Macaca fascicularis: one gene and its partner. The protein of the gene in region 1 interacts with the protein of each later gene in a pairwise test. Links are inferred from orthologs where the notes say so. Each region holds a gene or a part of one and is shown on either strand. Other genes may lie near its edges.

Region 1 (3,561 bases):
TATTACTGAGTGAAGGAAGCCAATCCGAGAGGCCACATCCTGCATGATATCAACTGGGCATGGTGAAAAGGCAAAACTGTGGAGGCCGTGGAAAGATCAATGGGTGCCAGGATGAGCGGGAGGAAGGGAGGGATGAAAAGCTGGAGAACAGAAACTTTTTATGGCAGTAAAACTATTTTATATGTTTGACACATTAGTGATAGACACACATCATTATACATTTCTCAAAACCCATAAAATGTTTAAGATAAAACATGAACTCAAATGTAAGCTATGGACTTGGGGTGAAGATGCATCGAGGTAGATCCATCGATTGTAACAATGTACCCCACTAAAAGAATACGTAAATGATAAGGGAAACTGTGCAAGAGGAAAGGGACTACGAAGAAACTTTCTACACTTTCCAGTCATCATTTCTGCAAGCCTAAAACTGCTCTAAAAAAATTAAGTCGGCCGGGCACAGTGGTTCATGCCTGTAATCCCAACACTTCAGGGAACTGAGGATGGAGGATCACTTGAGATCAGGGGTTTGAGACTCTGTCTCAACCCAGCCTGGGCAACATAGTGAGACTCTGTCTCTATGTAAATAAAAATTTAAATAATTAGCCAGATGTGGTGGCGCACGCCTGTGGTCCCAGCTACTCAGGAGGTTGAGGCAGGAGTATCCCTTGAGCCCAGGAGTTTGGGGTTGCAATGAGCTGTGATTGCACCACTGCACTTCCAGCCTGGGTGACGGAGCCAGAAGTCATCTCAAAATAAATAAATAATAAAGTCTTTTCATTTTTAAAAGGATCCTTCTAGAGAAATCATGTTGAACATCGAGGGATGGGTTCCTAGCCATGCAGTTTTGGGGATAGAAGTTTAGGAGTCACTAGCATGTTCCACTGGTTTTTCTGGTGCACACCTTAACCTCCTCCAGTGCCAGTCAAACAGATCTGATTCCTTCTTTCAGTTCTGCAAGCATGGCCAGTGACTTCAGGAAGCGGAGGAAGAGCGAGCCTGCAGTGGGTCCACCACGGGGCTTGGGAGATCAAAGTGTGAGCAGGACTAGCCCAGGCCGAGCGGACCTCCCAGGATCAAGCGCCACCCTTACAAAGTCTTTCACTAGCTCTTCTCCTTCTTCCCCATCGAGAGCAAAAGGTGAGCAATAGTAAATGAAAACACAACAATTTACTAGTTTACATTTTAGCCTAGAGCACTGTGTGAAAGCTGGCCCAGTGATAGTGGCACGAGCCGGCTCCCACCTACAGTGTCTGGAATAAAATACACTTTTAGAACAATAGCTTTCTTCCCACCCAGACTGACTCAAGCTGGCGAGCCACTCAGGTTGCTTCAAGAACTCTGACTAGCATCTGCTAACGCTTTTTTCCCCCCAAATAGATCCCTTTCTAAACAAATTCAAAGTATCAAATATGTATCATCAGGCTACTAAAAGATGTCATTTGTAAACATTGAGGTATAGTCAAAATTTTCTAATGTTTCTGCAACTAGCAAATCAGTCAAATTTATAGGATAGAAATTACAAGCAGCAACAGAGGAAATTGTTACCTAAAATATACATTGGTTTGGAGGTTTTAAAAAGTTATTCAATTCTAGATTTAAAAACAAAATCCGACCTATTAATTTCTTTAGCCATTTGCTGTATATTTTGGGCCACCTTCATATGAACAGTGGAGCATCCACATCCTGCCAGGTCACATAGTGGTCCATTCACAGCAGTTCACAGTCAGGACTGATGGGTCCCGGACCATAATTACGTCATTCAGGAATCACCAAGCCTTTTTTTCTGGGCGGCCTGTCTCCTCACTGCAGGTGTAGGGAGCTCACTGTTGAAAGGAGTAAGTCACTCCCTCTGGTTTCTGGAAGACCATTTAGTGGTCTTCCTTGAGGACAGGAATATTTCTGAGATGGAGAGTAAGGATTGAACCAGCACCCACAGGGAGCTAGGGCTCTACCAAATATGGGACCACACAATCTCTTCTAATATCTCAGGATCGAAATGGAAGAGAAAGAGATTTTGAAATGTGTGAAGAAATTGAGCTCTAACATAAGTTTCTATAAAACTAGACCGATTCAGCTACACCTATCAACTATACTCACTAAAACCATTGCCACATGATAGTTAAAAGTGATAGCTGATTTGTGTGCAAAAGATATTCTGGTTGTGATGATTGGACTCTGAGTAGGTGGAGGCCTCGCCCTTTTCAGGCCTCGTAAAGCTGTGATATCAGCTGATGGTTGAGGGCATACAAGCTCCATCCATCCTCCTTTCCTCTGAGGAGCAGAGATGCCTTCTCAGATCCAACTCACGTATTCCAATGAATATCTTAAGGTAACAAGTAAGTCATGCAATGCCATTGACTCATTATTATTGTATACTACCCAAAAGTCAAAAGGATTCTGATAAATGTAGATATTTGTTTTATCACAGGGAGTGTTAAATCAACTTCCTTTCCCAGGCAGTACATATCTACCTAATGTGCTCACCTACTTTTAAAGAATTTAGAGAACATTGTAAGGTATGTGTATTGAATACAGACATTTTCCTCCGTTAGATTTTATTTCTAAGAAGAAAATGTCCTGTTAGATATAATTTGGCTTCTCATTTATTAGTTAACTCAGCAAAACAAAAGAACATTTCCATAGCTATTCAAAATTGAATCCAAGTGTACATCTCTATTATCAAATTGCAAATATATTTTTTAAAACTCTTCCCAGAAAAAAAGCATGATATATGCGCCTCTGATGAAAGCTTTGCATTATATTCAGTTTTCCTATGAGAACTATGTACCTAATAAGAGGTTAAAGGTAGAGCAATTTAAGAGGTAAATTCGTTAGTTTAAAGAGCTTTAGCTATTTTTTTCTTGGAGAAACGTTAGCAGCAATAGTTCACAGCATTTTGATTTTGCAATTTTGGAGAATACTTTGCCTTATAGCTTTTAAAATCCAAAACCCATAAAAAATTATTTTATATAGTCATGAGAGTATTAATTAGATGTAAATGTGTAAACCCCTCTCTACCTATGTATCATTACGAATCAAATGGGACTCAAATTCCGGCCCTATGAAATTGATTAAGTGTATAACACTTTTGGCACTAACTGTTAAACCTTTACTACCAGATCATGCTATCAGCTGAAGAGGCACTATTGTGTTTTGGCAAACAGTATTGTCAGAAAGGTGTATGAATTATGCAATAGAAGTAGGCGTATTTGCTTCCATCAGTTACTTCTTAGGCATAGTTTTGCCAACTCTCTCTGCAAAGCTACATTCATTGAGAAAGTATTAGCTCGCTTTAGAATTAGACCTTTTTCTCTAGAGCTGATGCTCCATGCGTTAACAATCAGCCTCTAGACTAAAACACACTAACTGCTTTCCCCTTGCTGTGCTGTCTGATGCTTACTGACATGCTCTCCTCTCTTTGTGAACCTTTTAACTTCTCCAAATGTCTCTCTTCTACCACGCTGCTCTGGATTAAAAGGTGGGGATGATAGCAAAATGTGTCCATCCCTTTGCAGTTACTCAGGGCTCAACGGCAACCCCTCCAGTGAGTTAGATTAC
Region 2 (4,187 bases), on another chromosome or scaffold:
CCTCCAACCTAACTGGAGCTGGGAAGCAGGAGATCTCCCTGGAAATTTAAAAGTTCCTCTGCTATCCTAGTGGAGTTGGAAACTATTCAGGAGTCTTCCATCACAGCCAGCCAGCCTACAGCCAACACAGTTCATCCCCATCCCCATGTTTATCCCAGAATCTCTCCCTATTCCACCCCATAGGCTCCACCACACCCCTCACGCAGAGGTTTCTTCACAGGTGCCCAGGCAATAAGAGTGGGGAAGGAGCTGGGGCACGTGTCCTGACCACACTGTCCTAGGAAATGCCTAGATGTGTGGGTCTGTGGAATATTGAGGCGGGGTTATCTGTTCAGGTCCTCAAGTTCACCAAAGGCCTTATATTACATTTCTGATCTTATCTCCAAATAAGGTTATGCACATACACACAATAAGGTTACATATGTGTTTGAAGGGTTAATTTGTTCAATGTAAACATCCAAAATATACCACAGCTTTCAATCCTGTTTATCATCTTGCTTTTTAAATACCAGGAACCTCAAAAATGCAAGAAGGTAGGTGTCACTCAAGCTTGACAGGCCCTGATGTGTGTGTCCCAAAGGAAAGGTCCAGGGAAGCAGCACACACTAAGGAGTTATCCCAGGGCAGAGGAGCTTTGGGGGTCAGGAGCACCGTCCTTTCAGTGGAAACTCCTGGCGGGGCTAGATCCCAGCTTCTCTGAAAGAGTTCTAGCAACTTTTGTGCTAGCGGTCCCCAGTCCTCTCCTCATAGCAGCAAGAGCGAGCCAGGCTGAAGAGGCCGACAGGCCCAGACTGGCAGAGGAGTGTAAGAGGCCGCACAACCTGCCCGCCTGCAGCTCTGGGGCCAGACGCCCTGCTTCATGTTCTGTCACCAGGGTCAGAATCCATGTCCAGCGCCAGACTCCCGCCCTGTGCCCCGCAAGAACGACCCAGCGAACCCCGCTGCCCTGCAGGGGAGGCGCCGAGGATTGGAGAGGCTCTGCTAAGGGCCCCGCTGGGCTGGAGGCGCGCGCTCCCTCCATGGGGAAAGACAGATGTGGGGCTAATGAAAGGGAAGCCGGGAGGCGCGGGGCCAGCGGGGGAGACGGGGGCGTGGCGGGGAGAGGAAAGCTCCCGGAGAAAGCCGACCGGACTGCCGCGAGCGAGGCCTGCAGCGGAGTCCAGAGGAGGAAGGCGCCGGGGACTGGGGCAGGACCAGGGCGGGAACGGGTGGGGGAGGGGTACCACAGGCAGTTGGACCCGAGGGTCCTGAGCTGAAACTCAACACCCGCCTTTGGAAGGATCGTCCCCCTTTCTCCTCCGCCCCTTCCCTTCCCCTCCCCTTTCCCCTCCCTCCTTTCTCTTAATCCCCAGGACTGAGCCCCGCGCCGGAGAGGAGAGGGCCTGAGGGGAGGAGAAAGGAACAGCACTGAGAGGGGCCAGGAGCCCAGGAAGGGGAGAGAAGGGCAGCCGCGGCCCAGGGGTGAGCCTGGGGGCCACGCGCGACCCCCGGAGCCTTCGCAGCCCTCTCAGTGTCCCCACCCCCAGCCCAGGCGAGTCCGCAGGACCCGGGACCCTGCTCCTCCTTTGCCTTCTCTTTGCTCCTTCTTTTGCTTTGTGGCCTTTCTTTCCCTTCCCAGAGACACCTGGGAGCTGCCCCCAAGCTGTGGGGCGCGCCGCGGGGTCCTGCCAAGGGTGCCTGTGAGAGGGGGCGGCGGGGCCGGCGCCGGGTGCCAGGGGCCGAGGGTGGGAGCAGGAGCTTGTGGCCTTGCGCCCTGGAGCCGAGGACTGGAAGGGGGCTGGGCCCCTCTGCCGCCTGGGCGCGGGCAGCGCGTCGGAAAGGCTGTCCCGCCTGTTCCAGTGGTGCCTGTGTGCTGGTTGCTGCTGCTCGGGGTGAGGCGCTGTGGCGGCGACCTCAGACCCCCGGGCGCGCTGAGTGAGTGCGCGCGTGAAAACCGCCGCGCTGCCGGGGGTGCGAGTGTTTGGGCAGAAGCGGCCACTCCAGCGACCCAGCCCCACAGCCACGCTCTCGGGGGTCTTTGGCTCCGGGCAACTTGGGACAAACGTCTAAGTTCTCGCTCTCCCTCCCTCCCAGCGGGGTCGCCGCAGACCCAAGCCCTGGGAGCACCGCTCTGCAGCACAGCCGGCGGGTGGAGAGGGTTGGCCCCAAAACTCGCTCGTCCAGCCCAACCGCCCCAGCGGCTTCTCCCAGCCCTCGAGGCTCTCGTGAGCGGCCTGGAGAGGCGTCGAGCGCAGCCCAGCGCCCGCCTGCTCACCTGCCCCGGCCCCCGAAGGGAACTTTCGGCTCCTGCGAGCCCGGGGCGCCCCCGCGGTCTAGGGCGGGCAGCTCCCGGGGACTGGACGAGGTGGTGGTGCCCGGGAGACCGCGGGGACAGCACGCAGCGCGCGCCCTTGGATGCGGTCCCGCAGCGACGCCCCGGCCCGCCCCGCTCCTCCTCCTGCCTGGCTAGCCTGCCTCTCATTTGGGAAGTTTTGTGGGTTTTCTTTCTCCTCCTCCGACCTTGGCGGAGGCCACGACTCAGGCGCCACAGCTGGGGGCTAGAGGCCCCGAATCATGGTGCGGGGCAGCCACCGCTGAAGTCAGCGAAACCGAGCCTGGCCTGAGGCAGGCTGCGCGGGAGGCCAAAGCCATGGCCATTGCCACGTCGGTGAGTCCACCAGGGAGAGGAGGCTGCCGGGGAGAGACCTCCACGGCCTGCCCTGCGCTCCTGTCACTTTATTTCTGCCCTCTCTTTGTCTCTCTCCTTGGTCCCTTTCTTCTCCAGAAGGCTGTGTCCCCCTCCTCTCACTTTTGTTTCCCTTCTCCCTCTCACTCCTCATCCCCTGCTCCTCCTGGCTCCGGGCTCTCCCCTCTTCCCCGCCCCCTCCTGTTCTCCTTTTTCTTACTAGAGGCTGCGCCTGAATGGAGGGGAGGGGGCAAGCGTAGCCTGAGTCCTATCTGCTTCTTTTGGGCGGGAACAGATGGCTACTGGTGGTTGGCAGGGGCTTGTGATTGGGAGGCAAGTAAAAGGTTTGGAGGGGGCTGAAAAGACCTAGTGGCTCACGGAAAACGAAAAACGAGAGGCTGAAGGACCCAAGGAGGCCCATCTCAAGGGAGATAGACCAAAGGAGGGAGATCAGGAAGGAGAAAGAGAAGACAGAGGGAGGAGGGGAGGTGATGTCAGCCAGCCTCAGGCCACTTTCCAGGGATCAGGACAAAGGGAGGAGACAGCTGGCATGATGGGACAGTGGGAGGAGGCCTCCCAGAGAGCACAGAGGCCCTCTGCCACCCACATTAGGCTGGCCATTCCCTCACCAGTCAGCTGGACCGCTGGGGGATAGAGCAGGAGTGGCCACACCCATCATCAATCAGCCCATCAACAACTCTGTCCTGCAGTGGCAGGGCCCAGAGGCTTGGCCCCACTGGACAGAACTCAAACTTAACACCAAGGAGGAGCGCTCTACAGCCCCACCTCGGTTTTCTGTTCTACAGTCTATGCAGTCTGAATCCAGGCAGCTCTGTTCCCCTTCCACCCTCTTCTAGGTCCTGCCTAAGCTTCCCAGGGAAGCGAGGCCGTCACTTGCTTTCTGGTCCCTTCTCAGTGGGGACTCTTGGAGAGATAATTGTGAGACTGGAAAGAGAAGCACCGAGCCACCCAATGTCCTCCCATACCCTTTGAGGACAGGTTCAAGTTTGGTTCTTTCTCAGACCAAACTCCTTTTTTTTTTTTTTTTTTCCTGAGACAAGGTCTCACGCTGTCACCAGGCTGGAGTGCAGTGGCACAATCATGGCTCACTGCAGCCTCCACCTCCTGGGCTCAGGTGATCCACCTACCTCAGCCTTCTGAGTTGCTGGGACTACAAGCACGCACCACCACATCGGCTAAATTTTTGTATTTTTTGTAGAGGCGGGGTTTTGCCATGTTGCCCAGGCTGGTCTCAAACTCCTGGGCTCAAGCAGTCCATCTGCCTCAGCCTCCCAAAGTGCTGAGATTACAGGCATGAGCCACCGCACCTGGCCCCAAACTCCTTTTAATTCCTCAATCTGTAACAATGGCCAGGAAACCCTAGCTCAGAGTGGGGACGGAGGCCCTCTGGAGATAGAGTACCTCTGGGAGTACTCTGGCATAGAGATGCTGGTTCAGGAGCCAGCTAGTCAGCTTTGTAGTCCCAAGAAGGTAGATTTTTCTTTTTATGGTCAGGGGCATT

Evidence for each region.
Region 2: the proteins of SORBS2 (region 1) and EFS interact in binary tests that used the Homo sapiens proteins (3 or more experiments, as listed by UniProt). The two-hybrid records come from large-scale screens. The link is inferred for Macaca fascicularis from reciprocal best matches to the Homo sapiens genes SORBS2 and EFS.

Annotation. Positions count from the first base shown.
Region 1 is NC_088379.1:190,382,909-190,386,469, reverse strand, and holds part of SORBS2 (sorbin and SH3 domain-containing protein 2), read left to right. Parts: intron 1-952; coding exon 953-1,140; intron 1,141-3,481; coding exon 3,482-3,561. UniProt on the Homo sapiens protein: Adapter protein that plays a role in the assembling of signaling complexes, being a link between ABL kinases and actin cytoskeleton. Can form complex with ABL1 and CBL, thus promoting ubiquitination and degradation of ABL1.
Region 2 is NC_088381.1:91,134,371-91,138,557, reverse strand, and holds the start of EFS (embryonal Fyn-associated substrate), read left to right. Parts: upstream 1-1,368; 5' UTR 1,369-2,629; coding exon 2,630-2,647; intron 2,648-4,187. UniProt on the Homo sapiens protein: Docking protein which plays a central coordinating role for tyrosine-kinase-based signaling related to cell adhesion. May serve as an activator of SRC and a downstream effector. Interacts with the SH3 domain of FYN and with CRK, SRC, and YES.